2 linked regions of the Schizosaccharomyces pombe genome follow. The gene in region 1 interacts genetically with each later gene. Each region holds a gene or a part of one and is shown on either strand. Other genes may lie near its edges. The genes, in order: ppk9 and pus3.

Region 1 (10,210 bases):
GTCAAACCACTAATGTTTAGCCTCACTAAATCTTTGGAGCAAAATATAATGAGCGGTGTTAGTTACTTTTGTATACCAGCGATACCTATCTTGGATAATAATAAACATTATATGTCAAATTGCAAAAAACAATGACACCACCGACTTATTTTATTAGTGTCTTTTATGGTAGTAGTAGTAAAAGATTCCATGCTCCTTAAACTGTTGTTTACAAATGCACTTAGTATCACTGCTGAATGAACACAATATATTGTTGTTAAATTAGTTCATAACTACGAATTAAAATACGATCTTAACAGCAATTGAATCTAATTACACACAAACGAAACGTTAAAAGATATTTACTATTAAAACAAAGACAAAATATATATGAAACGAAGGAAAAACCAACGATTTATGCAGCATTAAGAAACTTAAGAGTATTTTTTTAAGGGACTTTCTCTTCCTTTTTTTTTAATTCTTTTGTTACATAAGACTTCACCATAATTTAGGACATGAACTCCAAGTAGAGTTTTCACGAGATTCCCAATAATTATTTTCCTTTTTTAATTGCCAAATTGGACCTGACCCATCTTCATCTTCGTCATCACCAGCAACAGATGGAACAAACCATCTAGGTTCCCATTTTATATCTTTCTCCTCCATTTCTTTCCTTCTTTCGCGTTGTTTTTGCTCCAGTTCCAATTTTAAAGGTTCTGCGTGATCGAGATCGTTGTTTTCTCTATAACGTTGATCAGGACGCAAACGGGTATCGGTTGGAGGCAATTTATCCTTTTCCAAATCTGTAATCTCATTCATTTGAGCAGCAAAAACAGTCATTCCGCAATGATCTTCAGGCTTGTCGACCAAAGGACCAACTTCCCAGATACGCTCGATTACATTGCCTTCATCTGTATTTACAAAATCGAGATGTGAGGTCCATTTCCCTTGCAAGCATTTAGGATCTTCTTCACCATTGGATCGTATAACTGTTACTAAAACATCTTCTGAACGTCCAGAAAACATACCTCCACTCTTGAAACGTATCACTGCCTTATCGCCTGTTGTCTCATCAACGATTTCCATATGATCGTAAGGCTCCACATATTTCTCACCGATCGCAACGTTTTTGAGGAAACAGGCTGGCTTCATAAAGCTGAATTCAGTACCACAAGCAAGCTTAATGGTGACTGGACCAAGAGTATTTAATTCAACAGACTTTCCCCAAAATTTTTGTATGGGTTTAGGCGAGTGGTTCCAAATCCAATTTCGACTTTCAGCATGACAAGCAATAATTAAAGGTCGATGACAGACTTTTTCAGCTAGAAAACGATAATTTCTGTCTTCCCGCACCAACTCAAAAGTTTCACCTAACAAGGGACTGAAAACCTTTCGAACACTTCTTTCTTTATGTCTCATATTGGAAAAATTTGAAACGGCAAAAGCAGCAACGTAAAATATTTTTATATCATCATCGCATTCATTAGCTTTGTCTAGCATGTTAGAGTATTCAAGATCTTCAGCACACCGTTGCAGTAAATTACAAGGCTCATTAGAAACAACGGGTGCAGGAATAGAACTGATATCTTTTCCAATGTTTTTTCGTAAAATTGATAGTATGCTTGGCGGTGGAACAGTAATAGCTGGTATATTCTTTCTTCTTCCAACTTTGGAATGCGGTAAAGGGTAAAGAGAGTTGGAATCGGAGGGTTTAGGGGTGAGAGGCTTAGGGATAGAAATAACGGCCCCGTCGGCGATGTTTTTAGAAACAGAAGGCTTTTGAACCTCTTCATCGCTTTTAGCATTGGCAAAACTGGAATCATCCGGTGATGAAGAATCCATTAAATCATGGAATGGCTGTTTTCTTTTGATATCGTTTTCTTTATTGCTTTCAACTTCGGGAAGAGGCGGTGACCGAGAAGACTCATCTACTGTTGAGGCGAGAGAAGTTGCATTCAACTGTTCATGTGGAGCTGAAGAGTTGGATGATGTATCGGAAATAGAAGAAGTGTCAGAATCACGATCTGCATCAAGGGAAGTGCTATTAGAAGAAGTTTTCATTATTGGAATATCGGAATCAGAGATGTCCTCCACCTTTTCATTATGAGCAACACTTGATTTAGTAGCATCAGCTGCGTGAGCACCCGACTCAGAATAGTGATTCAATTGAGAAGTTGTGCTTTCATAATCTTCAGCGTCGTACCAATGTTGCTCAAAATTGGAATCCATAGACATGCGTGACGAAGGAGAAGATTGCGCCGTACGTTCTTTAGTATATTCATGGTGTTGAATAAAGCATTCCAGTTCATGCAACAAAGACCCGAGTTGACGAGTAACCTTGCGTAAAGTAACCGCAGCTTGCGCGTTTTCAGCAGCAGTAATTTCCACTGAAGTACGGGTTTCCTTGTTTTCTTTGGCATCACCGGGAAGTTGTATACGGATCTCAGGGACAGAAAAATTATGACTTGAAGCCGATTTGATACGACTGGTGCGATACAATTGAGCAATATCCAGGCATTCACGTAGTCTTGAGTAAATAGAGACTAACTGATTGGATGACGATTCTTGTGTCCTTTCGTCTACTACGAGCTTTGAAGAAGTTTGACTATTTTTCGCCTTTTCCAAAGCATTGCACCAACGTAGCCAATCTTGGTGAGTATGTGCTCGTAGGTTCCACAGTTCTACGCCTGAATCAACGTTGATCTCATGCGTCTCTGCAGCAACGCTAATCACAGCAATGCTCAAGGGAATTTTACCGCGCATTACCGAAGAATTTTCGTTAGCATAGTATGAGATCGTGCCTTCCACCATGTTGAGAGTGAAGTAACGTCGAGCATAGCCTTGGCCCTTCTTTCGGCGCTTTTTAAGCAAGGTTCCAGAAATAATTTGTTTAGGAGAGCCATGGACTGATGCATTTGGTATTCTCGGACCGTTGTATGGTTGCGCGGTCAAGAGGAAGGTCACAGTTTTTGGTTTTGTTTTCGAAAAAGTGTTATCAAACACGAAGGCATAAAGTCCTCCATTCTCAATGTAGACAGAGCCCTCACTAGGCTTTTCCGACATACATCGCTCTCCTTGATAAAATAATTCTAACCCAGCAGCACTCAACTTCTTGATACCAGCTTCGTGAGTGTGTTGACGCTTTGTATGCAGGATGGAACGATCGGTGTTTTTGTTGGATCCATCTAGCAAGCTAGATGTGTCATTCTTTTTATGATATATATCAAACTTTATGCTTTTCCGTTTCACATGCAGTTGCCAACTCAGTAAGGAATTCGATTCCACCGTGAGCCATTGTATCAACAGACTCTTACTTCGTATCTCCACAGTTTCCATGTTGACTCATGGACTTCTACTGTGATAATTGCAAAACTTAGAAAGCCTATTTTTTTCAATTGATGACTGGAGAGGAATAAAATAATTGCCTAAACGTATGTGGTAAGAGATGGATTTTCGGTTTCGGGATTTTCGGGCGAATGACTCCAAGGTATTTTACCGATGCGGAACGTTCGGTTTTTTGGCGGCCACCTAATGTAATGTATACTTAAGTAGTAAACAAAGGGCTGGTAGCGGCAATAGGTATGCCAGTATGTAAACGGATACAAAGAAAATTTTGCACTTATCACTTTCCGTAGTGTGTACTTGGGATGCCTCGATCGGGCTATTTCAGATATGGCAAAATATACTTTACATTAAAAAATAGCTATACAAAAACATTCGCACGGTCTGTAATATGCGGTTTTATGTTTGTCTACTAGCATTGATGGCATCGTGCGAAATAATGCGGGTTTTTGGGATTAAACCGAAAATCAAATGTTTTCTGTAGTCAAAAAATCTAGCTGTTGTAATTTTTTATTTAATTGTCTTTGAGTATTTCTATTACTGCTTTTACTAATTTTATCATTATCACGGCTGTATTGTTGTAGCTTATTGTGCAAAAAATTTTGGCTAGAAGTTGGGACGGATCTAATGATGGAAGAGGGTAAATAGAGAGTTCCCATGTACTCATAAACTTTGAAAATTGGCATAATTTCCCATAACACAATACCAGCTCGATTTTCCATTTCATAACACAAAATTTACATACCTATGCATCTGATAACCCATAGACCGCGTACCTTAATTAAATAAAGTGCAGATTGGTTGCTCGTATCGAACGCTAGCGTTGTCTGCAATGTCGCCGTGGAGATGTTTACCAAAAGATAGCACGTTACGCCATATAATCTTATTACAAGGTTGCTTTGAATCACACTACTTTGCCTCGTGCACCTTTTTTATCGCTAACAAATTAGCATCAGATGCGCGGATCATGTTTAAGTCGGACGGTATGCAGCAACATGCACATGCTAACCACCTATATACACGAATAACGAATTTCATCCTATAAAGTCAGCTGGCTCGACTTGCTATGCAAACCCCTTCTTCTGCATCGGCAGAGTCTGAAAAGGATTCAGGAAACACCTATGTTGGGCCTTGGCTTTTGGGAAGGACTTTGGGACAAGGAAACTTGGCCAAAGTGAAATGTAAGTACATGAGGTGAAATTTAGTTGACTTTGTCTTGTAGGGGCTTGTTAATAAGATAGAGTAGACTACTTATAGACAGTAGAGATAGACTACTTAGGTGTCATGGTTATCTTGCGCATCGATCGTCTTTGATTTTGTTTTTGGCAATTGTACGATGGCTAACAGTGTAGTGGGCAAGCATTTTCAAACAAATGAAAAGGTCGCATTGAAAATGGTTTACAATGATGAATTGGAAGATAAAGATACGTGGAAGCGTTTACAAAGAGAAGTGACAATCTTAAGGCAATTGCACCATCCAAACATTATCACCCTATACCAGGTGTTTCGGGTTCCCAAGTACACAGTGCTCGCACTAGAGTATATGGATACTGATTTGCACAGTATGGTGGTTAAGCATAATCGACTGGATGAATGTACCACTCGCAAGATTTTTCGACAAATTGTCCATGCCATCGATTATTGTCATCTTCATCGTGTTGCTCACCGAGATTTGAAGTTGGAAAACATTTTACTTAATAAAGATCTGGTTGTCAAGCTCACGGATTTTGGCCTTTCCAATTTTATGCTTGATGGTTCCTTTCTGAGTACCTCTTGCGGTACTCCCCATTATGCTGCTCCTGAGGTTATTCAAGGCCGTTATTATGATGGTTGTGATGTAGATGTATGGGGTTGCGGAATCTTATTGTATTTGATGCTCGTCGGCGAGTTTCCCTTTGAGGATGTAACCATCTCCAATGTATTAAGTCGCGTTTGTAAAGGAATCTACACCATTCCTAGTTTTGTATCTTCTTCAGCCTCAGATCTCATTCGTCAAATGTTAATGGTGCTTCCTACTTCACGAATCAAAGTTGCAGAAATAATGCAACATCCTTGGTTTATCGCTGATCTTCCCACGCATTCCCGTTTACCTTCCCGTACTTCATCCTTTTCTTCCAAGCATCGATCTGTCACCTTTTCTCCTCCAGATCTTGCTATTCTTTTCGACCCTTCCATAACTTCGCCTTCCAGTAGTGTAGGTCAAATTCCTCAGCCCACAGATCACTCAGCCCTATCCCCGTCAAAACCAATGTCCATTTCAGGTACTGAATCTCCTAATCCAGATCCCGCATCTTTATGTTATTCGTCGTATGAGGACTTGTATTCGGCTACTTCGTGGCATTCTGACATGGCAGAATCATCCGGATTTTTAGATCCTACTGATATTCCACCAATTCCTTCTAACGTTGAAACTTTACGCTCTTCTCTTCCACAGAGACATGCTTCATTCATGAATAAGGTCTACAACCATCCATTATCCCGACCTCCCGCCCCCAACCGACTTCGTTCTTTACGCTGGCATTATGGGATTCAAACTGCCAAAAATCCAATTGAAGTATTGAGAAAGCTATGTGAGGCTTTACTTGAGTTAGGAGCTCGGTTTCGGCCCTGTGATGAGGAATCTTTTCTAAAGGAAAATAAGTATAAAGTGTTTTCATGCATTACATGTCATAATTCTCCTGTTTATCTGGTTATTGAATTATTCTCTATTGGACCATCTGCTAGCGTGATTGATATCCGCTTTTCTAGTAGTGATGATTCTATAAAGTACACTTCATCTTACAGTCCAATGCCATTTTTAGAAGTTGTCAAACAATTGATCCTTAAAATTGCATAAGGTCAGTCGCGTAACTCAACCTAATTCCCTTTTTTATCCTTTTTTTTTCTTTTACGATTTTTTTTGTTGTAAAGCTTTTGTTTTCAATATTGTTTGCATTTACTAATATTGTGAAACTAAGTTGAATTTTGATATTTTTGTTACGACTTTCTCATTTAGTTTCAATTAGAATTCACAGTTGTTACATTTCCCTTTTGTTTTTTGAATTTGTTAGTTATTTCACAAACAATGAAGATAAACAGTTGTAATATTACAACAGAATTATGCTAATGTAATTTACTACAATCTTTTATTTTTATTCATGAAGTTAAAGAGTGAAGTAGTGTATATGCATTAAATGTGAATGTTTGTCCATACTCACAGTAATTCCTAGTACGGAATATAAAAGCAACCAATTAATTTTTGGAAATTGTGGAAGTGCCAAGTATGCCGTATACGTATATTTATTGTTCATGTGAAATTTAAGGGATAAGATGCTTCCTTTGGAAAAATGAACGTAAATAGAGGATTTGCCATATAACAAGAACAAATAATGAGATAAAAGTAAGATATGCAAAATTCTTGACACGCTCATTAGTACTTTCATTAGTGTTTCTGAATCTAGCTTCGCGAGCTTGCAAATAGTAAATTTTTCCTTTGATTTCTTCAATGAAGTCTCTTGCACGACGGATATCAGCTTCTACAGGTTCCAAGTTGTTTGCTTTTTGCAATGAAGAATAATCATCGGCGTCAGCGCCTACAGTAAACTCAAGTTTGACGGATCGCTTTTTATGTTCAGACTCTATAGCACCTACATTTAAATGTCAGTCAGAAAGCTAAACTCATAAAGGATTTCTTTTTCAAAGAAAGAAAGGGATCTAAACAACGTAAACAAATCAAAATAGCCGTTGAAGTAAATACGACTTTTAGATATAGTACCATACCTGGTGTCAAAGTATTTAGGAAGCAAATATCGAGCATAGCAGAAGCATCAACGTCAAAGGCAACACTCTTCTCGCCTAAGACATTTTGAATACTGCTATGAGTGTTGCCAGATGAATCAGTTATCATCATACTCAAGGTTTGTCCATCTCCCATATTACCAGTAGTTTTCAGATTAACAATTACAAGGTTCTTTTCTCCTACGTATTCACGAAGACAGAAAGGCTCTGGATTGGTTTTGGCAGGAATATCAAAGTTTAAAGCATGGACAACAGTCAATAATGCTAGCATAAAGAACAACGAAGATTTCAAAGAAACCATCATTTTGAAATAACTCCAAATGTTTGGGATACGATATGAACGACGTAATAACCACCACTGCTGTATACAGGTTGGCAAAAGAAAGAAATCTTGCCTGTTCTAGTTAAATGATGGTAAACCGAATGCCAAGGGGGAGTGTGCGCTGCGTCTCATTAACTTTCCTTACAGCTACAATGCAACAAAAAATACAAAAATAAGAATTCTGAGATACTTCCTTACGAATCAACTTTTATTAGTGTAAGAAATAACTCAATTTTTTTTTGCGGATCTCTTATAGCCTTAAAAAATGAGTAAGGGGCGTTGAAGGGTTTCATTTAGCAATGTAAACATAAGATAGCCATCGATATCACTAGCAAAAAGTGATAGGTTATAAAGCAAGAAAATGAATAAAAGAATGGATTTAGTTAATTTCTATACTAGTATTATGAGAAAATTAGCTTTTTCATTTTCTAATGATTATTTAATGAAAAAAAACTTACTAAAGTGATGCAAAAAATTATGTTTTGAATGCGGATAATCAACTTGAACCAAATCTTGAAAAACCATCAATTTTAAATTCAATAGCTAACGGAGTTAATTAATCATATAACTTTCAAATTTCTTTAGTAACTTTTAACTGATACGTATTCATTTACTAATAAATTTAAAATAAATTCTCAATTGTTCAGTTATATATTACAAAGACAAACGGACAACCACAAGCTCTTGTAGCTCAGTGGTAGAGCGCTTGCCTAGTAAGCAAGAGGCCCAGTGTTCAAGTCACTGCTGGAGCATAGTTTTTGTAAATCCTTAAAATTACTTTTTACTTAGTAGAAAAAGAGCGGCAGATTATTAAAATTTTTTTCAAATTGAACATATTATGGTTCATAGAAAATAAATGTCTATAAGTTGTCACGTCACTAAGAAGTGAACGTGTAGTTGTTAAGATTTTATAACTCATTAATTTCATAGTATATTAATGCCAAAGATTCTAAAAAATTTATAAACATCTATCGGATACTTAAGAATAATCCTGGATTCATGAAATTTGCATTTTGAGTTGTAGCACTATTAGGAGTATACTGACTGTTCTCGTAAATTCATCACCCATAGCGAACATAGCTACACTTTTCCCCCTATGTTGCGCTAGAAAGGTTTTTTTTGGTTTGGTAAATTGTTACATGTGGGTAGTTAAAATCTGATAAATCATATATGAGGGTTTCACTTTTTCTACAAAAGCAAATCATAGAATGCTCAAAGGCGTTTCAACCTCATTCTACACGTTTACAATGGCCCAAATCGCAGGATAAAGGTTCGTTTATTTTTTAAGCTAAAATGTCTAATAATGTTTTTAAGTATTTGTAGCTATGTCGGGAGGCGTGGACTCTAGTTTTTCGGCGTATTTACTAAAAAGTCAGGTAATTCGCAATTCTTTAAATTGACTCTAAAAGAGAAATGCTTTGATGTGAAAGATTTTTGAAACTTATTACTAAACTTTGGTTTAGGGATATAATGTGGAAGGTGTTTTTATGCGTAATTGGTTAGATGAGGACTCCGCGCCTTCTGGTTGCCCTGCTGAAAGAGATTGGGCAACAGTCCAAAAGGTTTGTAAGAAGCTCAATATATCGTGTAGACGGTTTAATTTCGAAAAAGAGTATTGGAATCTCGTATTTGAGCCTAGTCTAGATCTGTATGAAAATGGATTAACTCCCAACCCAGATGTATCTTGTAACCGACAGGTAAAATTTGGAGCGTTGTTCGACGCATTGAAAAAACATTGTGAAAATAATGTCAAGGGTGACTGGTGGCTGGCTTCTGGTCATTATGCAAAATCGGTTGTTAATATTGAGACCAACGAATCCCACATGTGTATTCCGACTGACAAGCGTAAAGATCAGACTTTATTTTTATGCACAATCCGCAAAGAAGCTTTAGAAAAAACCATTTTTCCTCTACATAATTGGACGAAAGAGAACGTGAAAAAGCAAGCAAGTTCTGCAGGCTTCAAAGAAATTGCTGAAAAGCAAGAAAGTCAAGGACTCTGTTTTGTTTCGCCAAATGTAGGGAGAAAATTCAGAAAATTCCTTCAGAGATATTTGAATTTTTCTGATAGGCCGATAAAAGTCATTGCAGGAAAAAATGTCGTTGGAGAGTTTTCAGGAAATCATGGAATATGGAGCCTTACTGTTGGTGAACGCTGTGGACTGAGTTTACCACAAGCTCAATCTGAATACTTTGGGAGATGGTATGTATGGAAAAAGGATATTAAAAATAATGCACTGTACATATGCCGTGGAACGAATAATGAACTATTAATGAGTAAATGCATTTATTTAAAAGATTGGAAGTGGTGTGGTACTAAGTTACAAAACCTTGAAAAAAGTGCTCTTTCATGTTTTGTAAGGGTACGCCATCAACAGCCATTACAACCAGCTAAGGTGACTTGGAGGAACCCTGAAAGTGTTAAAATACATTTTCAAGATAAACAACGAGCCGTTACTCCTGGTCAAGTCATTGCCGTGTATGTAAACGATGTTTGCTTGGGTGGAGGGATGGTTGATACTGTAGAACCTGAAAAAGATTTTGATTGATGAGTGTTTTATTAAAATAAACGACCAGCTAGTTATTCAAAAAAAAAAATTCTAGAGGATAGAAATAAAATGAAAAGAAGTTTTTTTATTAATGTGAGTAAGAATCTTTGGTATGTGATTTACTGAAAAATAATTATTACAGTTGGACTTGATTTGCTTCAAACAGATTATGCTTATACCTTCACTTTTTCACTATTTACCAAAAAATGACAAATAAGGTGTTAATAGTGTTAGTTCTAAC
Region 2 (10,907 bases), on another chromosome or scaffold:
ATTTAGCCATGAAAGAGTCGGATTGTAGCTCCGCTCGTCGCGGAGGTGAATTGTATGTATTTTGATATACTGTAATTAAATACGAGTCGCAAGACCGACAGTATATGGTGGTGCCACACTTGGTGATAAGCTCTTGTTGGTTTGCCAAGTGTAGTCTGATTTTCAACTGGAACGATTTTTACTAACACTATGTGTAGAGGCGAATTTGGAAGAGACGAAATGCAAAAACCGTTTGAAGACGCTGCGTTTGCCTTGAAACCCGGTGAAATTAGTGGAGTGGTTGAAACGAGCAGTGGGTTTCACATCATTCAAAGACACGCTTAATTCATTTGCAAAACAATTACCTAATAATATTAATGAGTATGCTTTATTTCTTATTTTCACTTACTCCCTTTCCGTATGCTTGAAAAAGCAAACAAAATGTTTGTCTTGTTTTGTCACAAATTTATCTCTTCTGATGATTTTTTACATTTTGTTGACCATTTTCCCAAAGGAGAATATTCACAATTGTCGCTTTGTATGTCCCTTATTTCTGACGTTCACCCGTTTATAATACATTTTAACTTAGTATTTAAGTGTTTGCCCATTCATGAACACGAGCCAGCTTACTACCTAGGTTGAAAACAAAATGATTTGATTTCGCTTTGCTATTGATTGAAAAAGCTTTGATGAAAAATGATAAAGTAACTGATTGATGTTTCGAGATTTCTGTTCACTTTAAAAATTTTCACAGATTTTCTACTTTACATGAATGTTAACTTTATTAGAAAAAGTAATTACAAATTTATCTTTTGCATATTTCATTTGAGGTTTTATGGTTGTAGTCATTTTTTTATGCTATATTTATTTATTTGTTTATTTTTCTTTATACCTACACAAGTCTTTTTTCGTTTTTTTTCTCTAACCAACCCCATGCACTGATTTACAATAAAACAATTAATATCCGGCAAAGTGAAAATGCAGCATCCCATTTTTTACGCTATAGAGGTGAGTAGAATTCTTCAGCATTTGGAACCCATTTAATAAATTTATTTGAACCGACTTCGTACTAAATTCTATCTTTCTGTATTTTATAAAGCGAATCCATATATCAGCTAGTAAAGGAATATTTGATAATTTATAGGAATCCAAATGTGTTTACACAGTAGGGGCCTGAATTATGAAAAAAAGTGTTCTTTTTTAAAAAAAATAGTAATGATAATAATTTAAATTAGGGATTATTTTAAGTAACGTTAAATCTCATCTTGAACATTTAGTATTGTAAAATGAGTTGTATTAAAATAACAATTGTATAGCTATCAGAGTTTATTATTAAACTTCGTTAATACAATTAAATCTTTCAAAATAAAAGAAATATTTTTTTTTAATAAGCTTAAGAATCTATTATTGGGATAGTTTGCCGGTCGAAGCAATGATACTTTAGTCAATGTAAAAAAGAAGTCAAACAGTTAAAAACCTTTAAATTTGAAAGTTAATTTCAATCAATTGTTGATGTGCCAAAAATAATAAAAATAAATAGAAAAATAGCTAAGGTACTGTTGACTACTGAAGGAATTTTTTTTGAAACAAATATGGCATTCGATTCAAAACTATATGTTCAATTTAAATCGAAGGTTTTAGAGGTTATACTATCAATACACCTTTGTTTGTCATAGCTCTATTTAATATTACCTTAGCCAGATAAGTCAGTCATATAACTTTTGAGCATTGAAAAGAAGTTCATTCTGGATCAAGATAATGAGTAATCATTGAATTTACGCCTTGGATGAGTAATTCACTTTAATGAAGCGATACATTCCTCAATAGCAAAGATAAACGGAGGTCATGCATTGAAAGAATCTTTTTCATTCTTAATATACCGAATTGCCAGGCTCTTAGTCTCTGATTAATACTATTCTATTCTATTCTATTCAATTTTCAATTTTTATGTTTGTAAGAGAAAGTATAAACTGCATGACAATGAGCATGCTTCGATTCATTTGCAATGTAACTGGAATCCCACTGCATACCAAAACTAAATAGAGTATCTTACTCAATGACTTACTCTTCATGCTAGTTAGATCAATTTAAATATCCTGAGAAGAAGAAATTGATGAAATTATTTATCCTTTTTAATATCTCTCAATTTTTTTCATAAAAGCCCAATTACCATCCATGGCTTCTGCTACACTCCCAATGGATTATAAGACGCCTTTCGGATATGCTTATAAACTATACGTGGAAGGAAAAGATGAACATTCATTATATATACTTGATAATTATTTAAAGAATGCTAATTGTAGTGAAAACACTTACGAACAAGCGTTAATATTGTGCCTGACAATTATGTGTGAACAAAGGCGTTCTTGGACAGAAATGGAGGAAAAATTGTTACACAACTATCAAGGGAAAATACCGGATTCAATCGTGGTAAATTGGTATGTAGTATTTTAAATTTTGATCAGAAGTTTTAACGTGACCAGGATAATTACTTATTTAGAGAATAGTGAATTTACAAAAGAGAACTACGCGCAAATGATAAATTCTTTGTATCGCTACCAAGACGCCATTTTGAAAAGTGAATTGAAAGATTCAATTCTCCCCAAACTTGTCAATTGTGCTTGTAGCGTGCAGCTTACTGAGCCATTGAAAGCCATATTGGCTAATTCTCGTGGGGAACTTGAAAATGTATGCATGTTTGTAACAACATTTACGTTTGATCCTTGTCGCTAACTGTTTAGTCATTACTGCTTCGGATTCAAGCACAAGAGGAAGAGTTAAAAATGAACCTTGAGCGTTCAAAAACTCCTGATCCCTCGGAAGATGAAGGAGAATTTGCCTTGACCCTAAAATTGCAATTTTCAAAAGTCTCTCGTTTAATAAACCAAGGTTTAACTCCACTCCTCTCGCGTTTACAGTTAATTGACAAAAATATAAAAATTGTAGGAGCAATCTTTGGCATTATTCTTTTACTCTTTAGGTTAAAAAAATACATCTCGCATTCGAAAAAATCTGCCTTTTCTCCGCAAAGATGGAAATTTCTACTTGACCAATTTTTACTTGCTATTTCCTGATGTAAGTATAAGAAGGCATGCATCATATCCATGTATTTTTACTATTTTCTATTTAATCTAGAAAGTTAAAAGATTGTGATGAAGTTGATTGATTCTAACGTATTTCCTTGTTTAACTTTTTCGAGTTCTTTCCCTCCTAAACTTCATTTTTACTACTTCAAAAACTTTTTTTACTTCATTTTTGAAGGTTCTAAACTTTTATGAATTTCATCTTCTACTATTTTAGAACTGTTAATTTATGCTAGTCATTAGAAAATTGAGAAAATCCTCGCTTGATATTTGCATGTAACATGATAGAATTAATTGAAATTGAAACGACAGCTTCTTTAACTCTTTTTTACGTTTGTTATTATCTTTCAATTTCTGATATTTTTATTTCTCTATAATAGTGTAAAATAACGTATCACTGCATACAGAATTGTATGAACTTTGCATTTCATAAATCAAATAGTGAAATATAGCGTTTTACTATTTTACCTAAAAGAAGTCCTGAAAGGAGGACTAGATATTTGAGCTATGAAGAAAAAGCAAACGAAAGTAAAACAAACAGTTAAGCTTGTCCTTCGAAATCCTTTATCTATCTCTTGGTATGTAATCTATTGCTTGTATTTTCACACCTATTTTCGTACTGACTAACCATACCGTTAGGCCTATCGTTGATGCAAATACACAAGAGAAATTAGCTCAAACACTTGTGCAATGGCTTCCTGCCTCTCATAAAGACATATTAGACTCGAAGTTGACCGTTGGATTGAATTCTGTCAATGAATTGCTAGAGAGATGTTGCCAAAATGCGAAAGACGTTACGCAACCTGCGGTCGTATTCATCCTTCATGACCAGGATTCCATGCTAGTTACACACATGCCCCAGCTTGTTGCAAATGCTAACTTTTATGGCTCCTCCAAATGTCGACTAGTTCCACTTGGATTTTCTGCACAAGCGCTAATCGCCAAGAAATTGGGTTTGAGCAGGGCGGGTGCGATTGCCGTACAGGTAAGGTTACTGGTCAATTTTAGACTAAGTAGAATGATATTGACTATATTTTAGGATGATTCTCCTCTATGGAAATATTTAAAAGATTTAGTGATGAATATAGAAGAGCCTCAAGCACGCTGGCTTTCCGAAAATCCTGAGTATGAGGTGACCAAGGTTGAAAAAATCATTACAAGTCAAAAGGAAAATCAAGGAACAAAAAAAGAGGGTAAAAACGAAAAGGGAAACGAGTTTAAAAAATGAAAAAATTTTAAGATGGCAGATTTCTTGTAGTTGTATATGTAAATATATATGTTTGCGTGTGTGTATGTGTAAATGTGTAAGGTATGAAAGATTGTGTGTAGATTGAGAAAGTATGAAAAGAAACATCGATAAATTGAGTTTTAAGCAGGCTGGGCAATATCTATTTTTCGCCAAGAATATCACGACGAGACGAGGGCTCTAAAAAGTCAAACGATGTCAACAAAGCTAAGTCTTGAAATAATTGAAATTGTTTTTGAAGGATGAAAAATGATTGAAAACTGAGACATTAATAAAATGTGAGATAGAAATGAAAGGTGTGGTTTAACTTACGATTCTGATGAAATGAAGCAATCAAACATTGGAGTTCGAAGAAAAGAATGTGCAAATTGGTCAATGCCTTTTTGCGCACATGACCATTCAACCGGTTCATGATCAAATCGGGAACATTTTTTGTTGAAAGCTTGAAAGATAGGTTGATTGAGAAGTAAAAACTCAGCAGGCGCTCTAGGTATTCGAATGCGATACGAATTATTAAATGTATTTAGCAAAACTTGCGCATTCCATCCAGTGCGTGTAAGATGAATAAGGATGCCAACCATTTTGCGAATTTGATGCTTCATAAACGACTGGCCGTGAAAGATTAGCTTAACCCATTGGCGATTTAACTTGTCAATGTGAAGGTTATCCACACGCACATCTAATAAAAACCTTCGAGAACTGGCGTCCGAAAAACCCTTCTCCGTTGTATAACTGTGAAATCGATGGGTGCCCCGAAACATCGTACACGCATGCTTTAGAAAGTCGAGTTTAGGTTTGGATAAACGAAAGGGCTCGGACAAGGAATTCGCAACACAGTCTTGTTTGCTTAAGTTAGCTAAATGGGAAAGTGTTTCATTAATGGGGAATGCTTTTTCAGATGCCTTGGCAATTACATAGGCCTCGAGAGTGCAAGGACGGGGAGTAAGTAGAGAGGAGACAGGCAACCAATACTCATATACGCGACTGTCGCACACAGTGTGTGGAGAAAACGAATTAAACGTCCTCGCCATTTTCCATACACGAATACAAGGTGGTAAAATATCGTTGACCAAATTCACCACATGAGGTAGAGGTTGATTGTCCAACACTTTCAAACCAAGAACATTAACAATGGCATGTACACCCTTGTCTGTTCTAGCAGCAGAACACATTCGGATCTTCTTGGGAGAGTCAGCATTCACCTGAACAACGGCGCCTACTCGAGCGAATGCTTGGAACAGTGTATCTTGTATGGTTTTGACATTGGCATTGTACTGCAAACCAGCAAAGCCAGTACCACGATAGCTGACAACACAGTAGACCATTCGTTTCCGGGGTTTCACCGAAATCGAAGAAAAGAAAACCCGATGTCGTTGGAGCAAGCAAAGCACAGATTGGTTGGCAGAGAACCTTGAAGGTCTTAAGAGACTATGCATAGTTTGAAAGATGAAATTAACTAAGCAAGTTTTTAATGAAAGAGAGGAAAGGTACTACAGATGGCATGTGCTCAAGCAAAAGTTAGGATATTAAAAAAATATTAAACTAAGGGTAGAAGCACTTCAACTGTTTTTCATGAACAATATAGAATATTACTATAATTTTTTGGAAAGAGCCCTAGCTTCCATGAATAGTCTTACCCACAATACCCTGTTGTTTATCTATTTTCTTTTACTAAACCAAGCTGTACATACTAGATACCACAAAGAAATACCTTGTATCTCCTTTCTACCCCTTTGAATGGACAATGAAGCCGAAAATTTGCCGTTTTTAGAAGGTCCTTTTTTTTCAACTTTTATCGAAAATTAATTTTTTTTCAGTCGTTTCAAAGGTCAACCTACAAAACTAATTCTTTTCGTTAGCAACCGCTTTCTTATCAATCTTTGCTTCTTTATTTACTGTTCTCTGCTAAATTTTCGTTGATTTATTTAAAATACCTTCTAAACCATACTTTTTCTTACTACCCGGGTTTTGACAAATTTTTTTCTATGCAGCTCTATCCGGCAAATGTTAAGGGATTGAGATATAGTGAATGTTGCATCTTAACCGCTAACCCATCGGTTCAACATTTTGTCATGCATGATGATGCTGGTGTTCCTCTAACGTACAGCGTTTCCACACTGCACGCCGAACTTACCGACCACCTATACCTCCCAACCACCAGGAAAACAGTCGCAGTAGGCAAGAAAACGCTTTTTGTAGTGCAAAAAAAAAGATTTAAGCCGGAAACATAGCAGAATAGCAGAAATTTGATATTTACTGTTATCATCTCCATTATTATTTGGATTAGTTTTCGATTGTCCTTTCATTCATCTAATAACGCTTGTTTTTCTTTTTTCTTTTTTGCATTCTCAGTCTTGGTTGTTTTGCTATTTATTGCGTTCCTCGGTTTCTCCCTATTAAATATTTTCTTTTCATTGTTTTTACGGAAATTCTCATTTTTTCATCTTAGGGGCTCGTTGACTCAGCCTGCACGACAAGGAAAATTATATCCGTTTCGGAAGCACAACGTGTGTGTTGAAAGTCTTACTTTTCTTTTTTATTTTTCTGTACCCTTTCATTGAACTTTAGCCATTTGTTGCTTTGTTGAATTTTGGCCATAAATAGTTTTTCAACTGGGTTTTTATTCGACCTCCTTTCATTATTCATTTCATTTTCATATCTATCCATTTCTATCCCCACTAAACAATTTTGTGTTTTTAGGATTTCCCTATTCTCAATCCATAAAATAGTCACGATTCGTTTTCATTCAGATACCCGGCTCCTTATTTTTTTTTTTTTCGAAATTTTATTCACTCGTTTGATTTCGTTGATTCATTTCTTCCGCCTTTTACTCATTACTTAAGGGTATTTGCTTATTAAACGTTTGGTCTTTTTTTTTGCCCATCTTTTTGTTCATACAAAGTTTTGTGACATTTATATAATATTTAGTCTCTTCGTTTTTGTGTGGGTTACCTTTTTTGTTTTATTCTTTTTCTTTTTTTTTTCTCTTTCTTCCCTCTTTGTTTTTTCTTCTGACCCTATTTTATGCCTTATTATTATTTTGATCAAGTTTCAATCATTTTTTCACAAAGATTTCATATTCACTTTACTTCTTAGTTTTTTTCTTTTTATTTGAAATTTCTTGGAATCTTTTTGCCTTTTTTCTTTTAACTTGATCTCTCTTATTTAACGTTACTTAGAAAAGCTTCTTTTATTTTGCTTTTCCTTTCATTCTTCGCTCCTTTATAAACCGTGTTCATACTTCTTTTGCTTACGTTTTGCCAATCTTCCCAGCAATTTTACTTCTATCTTGATTGTTCTTGTTGTTGGATATTTACTCTTTGTTGATAGCGGTATATTTTATTTGCTTCTCACTTTTTGCCCGATTGCTTTCCTTTGATTTACCTCTCCAAAAAAAAACAAGTGTCTTTTGTTTACTTGTTTGTATATTTGTTTATACTCTGCTGATTGAAAAGTTGATTGTTTATTTTATTTTTCCATCTGCAACCATTTCTTTTTTTTTGAAAAAAAAAAAATCGCTAACTGATTTTTTTAAGCATTTCGAATACCTTCGAAGTCTTTTTATCGATACTTTTGACGATTTCTTCCTCATAAGCCTTGCCCTAGACTTTTTGTTAGCTCGGTATTTTTGCATATTTCAGTCATCTTTTTTTCATTTTCAGTTTGTGTTTTTTGCTTCACAGTTGTATCTGTCTCTCTTTTAGCAACTAGAATTATTTGTGGTGGTCAACAGTTTACCCTTTGCTCTCGTTTTCTTGAAGTTACAGTCTTTCTTTTATTATCTTCGTCCAGTATTCTAGGTTGTTGCCCTTCTAATTCTTTCGCGTCAAGTATTTGGATTTTTCTAATACTTGCTAACAATTTTTACTGAATTTTTTATTTTTCTTCATTGCCCTTGCTTATTTTTATTACTTACACACTTTCTTTTTAGTCGACCAACTAGGTTTCTAACTTTTTACTCCACTTATTAACTATTTCGTGTTATTAAGCTTGAAGCCTCATTTATTATCGTTTGGGGTTTATTTAACAACTACTGCTATTTCATTTGTGTTTTACTTTTAGGCATCTATTGCTTATTTTGGTTACTTTATCAACCACTTTGTCATTCTTTTTTCTCTTCTTTTCAATTACCATTATATATAATTTGCAAAATGTTTGTGGGATCACCGAGCGCTATTGAAAAGCCTTTATCGTTATCCAGTAAGACCAAAGTCGGGGACGAAACCGAGTTTACTGAAGATGCGCTACGTGGTTCATCGTTGGTTCCAACCGGTATTCTGAATGGAGATGATGAATGTCATGCTCTTCACATGTCTCCTCAGGCTATTCACAGCCAAGCTGGGAAAGCTGAATCTGACGGTTTACCTACTTATGCATCTGTGGAAAAATCCACAACTCCGATTGGTAGACTCCTCTCTAACCTCAACGGTGGATTAGCCTCTGCTCCTCCTAAGGTTGGATTCGGTTTTCCTAGATATTATGCTTTGCGGATTGAGGATTTACCTAGGGACTTAACACCCAGAGAGTTTTTATGTACCTTTTTATTCGCTACGAATGTAGTATCCGTCGAGCTTAATCCTGTATCCGTGGATAATGAAGTTGCTCATGGATTGGCGGTGTTTTCATCCCGAGATGCTGCTGCATCTGCTAGAGACACTTTGCTATCTAGCGATGTTTATTCCGCGTGCAGCATGATAATTTTAGACAATTATCGAAAGGGAAGTCAAACAAATCTTAGCGACGAAACTGAGGGCTCTGAGAGTAGTGTTTCATTTAACAGACTGTCTCGAAACCATTCTCCAACTCGTCCACTGTTAGGAAATCGTGATCTTTTCCGCAGGTCAAGTAATCATGTGTCAGCCAGTATGCCTACTGCAAATCATTCGGAATCTGCTTATCGTCATTCAAAAACACCTTTGGGTGATAGCACTTTTCAGGCTCCTAACAATGGAGGTAGTTTGCATTCCGATAGGTTGTGGTCTTCTTTCCCTGTTTCTTATCCTTTAACACTCGCGAATGTGTTAGCCAAGGATGAAGTTGGTTCACCTACGTGGTCACCCACTCCTTCCAAAAGTAGTACCAATTTGCGTCAAGACGGTGTTCCTCCGATTTTGCGATTTAACTCATTATCTATTAACACCAACGTGGCGCGCAATTACCTTTCATCTGAAAAGGGTTATAGCGCTCATACCCAAAATTCTAGTGCTCAATCACCCCATCCTCGTGTCTTTTCGGCAAACAGTGCATTCAGTACAACAAGCCCTCCTCCCTTGACACCATCAACATCAAGAGACTACCCATTTTCAGCTTCTACCATTTCACCTTCCACACCATTTTCGGCTTATTCCTCCAGTCATGGAATTCATCAACGCATCCCTGCTTCTACCCCCACGAATACCAACCCTGCTGATCAAAATCCTCCTTGTAACACCATTTATGTTGGAAATCTTCCTCCTTCTACTTCCGAGGAAGAGTTGAAAGTTTTGTTTTCCACTCAAGTTGGATACAAAAGACTTTGTTTCCGCACTAAAGGCAATGGCCCCATGTGTTTTGTTGAATTTGAAAACATTCCATACGCCATGGAAGCCTTGAAGAATTTACAAGGTGTTTGTCTTAGCAGTAGCATTAAAGGTGGTATTCGTTTGAGTTTTTCGAAGAACCCATTGGGAGTGCGCTCATCAAGTTCATCGCATAACAACCATAATGGAAACGTTCGTAACCTTCACTCTGGTTCCATGAATAATTACAATACAGACTCTTTGCTTAATCATACTGGTGGACATAACGAAGTCCACGCCAGTCCCAGTTGGGGTAATAATCTAATGTATGGCAAATAGCTCATCTAGCATTTTCTCGTCTTCATTTTATCATTATTCATCAATACCTTGCAAGGACTTTAGGTCCAAATTTTTTAAGCATATTGTTTCTCTTTTTTTTTTTTTGAGTTTTGCATATTGATTCTTTGTTAATCAAAAGTTGCGATCTATTCCACTTTGACTGCATGCAACTTTAACCATCTGTTAAGCTTAATTACAATTTGTCGATTTATGCGATCTGTTTTATTTCACTCTTATATAAGATGGGTACTTGCATTGTTTAGTTGTCATTAGGATTTATCATTTGCTCATCATTTCCATATACTTCTGCTACACATATCAATTTACATAATAATATCGACTTTTGCTTCTAAATGAACCCATCTTAAATTGCTAAACAAGTACTGTAACAACTTGGTTAGATGTATTTTTATTGTAACACCCAACTTAAGCTTACATACAAGAATTTTTAGGATACATTGATAAGCAAACACTTAATCCTTTTATAAATATTAGTATAGTCTAGGTGAATAAAATATTTCCAACAAAAACTGTATAATAGTAATCCCGTCCTTTCCCTATTAAGTTGAAATTGATTTACTTTTTTTAAAATTGCGAGGAACTTTAGGCATGCTTCGTCCTTTTCACAGGCGGCTGTTTTGAAGTGCTGTAATATTCTGACTCCGATTCTGACTCTGAAGAAGTTTCAGAAGTTTCCGAATCCAAACTTTGACGTTTCGCAGCTTCATCTTCGACATTTTTGGGTTCTGAATTGCTATCGGC

Evidence for each region.
Region 2: mutations in ppk9 (region 1) and pus3 together harm fitness less than expected from each alone (positive genetic interaction), as found in Schizosaccharomyces pombe (one large-scale study listed by BioGRID).

What each region holds. Positions count from the first base shown.
Region 1 is NC_003424.3:1,601,267-1,611,476, reverse strand, and holds ppk9 (serine/threonine protein kinase Ppk9), read left to right. Parts: upstream 1-4,327; 5' UTR 4,328-4,387; coding exon 4,388-4,502; intron 4,503-4,673; coding exon 4,674-6,157; 3' UTR 6,158-6,404; downstream 6,405-10,210. Other genes in the region: sterol transfer protein Osh3, read right to left, coding at 478-3,315; COPII-coated vesicle-associated protein Erv25, read right to left, coding at 6,619-6,947, 7,081-7,402; slm3 (tRNA (5-methylaminomethyl-2-thiouridylate)-methyltransferase), read left to right, coding at 8,591-8,690, 8,735-8,796, 8,884-9,969.
Region 2 is NC_003421.2:665,017-675,923, forward strand, and holds pus3 (tRNA pseudouridine synthase), read right to left. Parts: upstream 6,294-10,907; 5' UTR 6,257-6,293; intron 6,151-6,256; 5' UTR 5,745-6,150; coding exon 4,621-5,744; intron 4,569-4,620; coding exon 4,451-4,568; 3' UTR 4,291-4,450; coding exon of another isoform or gene 4,102-4,290; 3' UTR 4,048-4,101; coding exon of another isoform or gene 3,702-4,047; 3' UTR 3,641-3,701; coding exon of another isoform or gene 3,570-3,640; 3' UTR 3,396-3,569; downstream 1-3,395. Other genes in the region: peptidyl-prolyl cis-trans isomerase Pin1, read left to right, coding at 1-52, 198-324; SPOM_SPCC16C4.04 (uncharacterized protein), read left to right, coding at 2,155-2,417, 2,463-2,667, 2,721-3,053; pop23 (Rnase P/MRP subunit), read left to right, coding at 3,570-3,640, 3,702-4,047, 4,102-4,290; SPOM_SPCC16C4.21 (uncharacterized protein), read left to right, coding at 6,294-6,539; RNA-binding protein Scw1, read left to right, coding at 8,460-10,145; p21-activated protein kinase inhibitor Skb15, read right to left, coding at 10,749-10,907.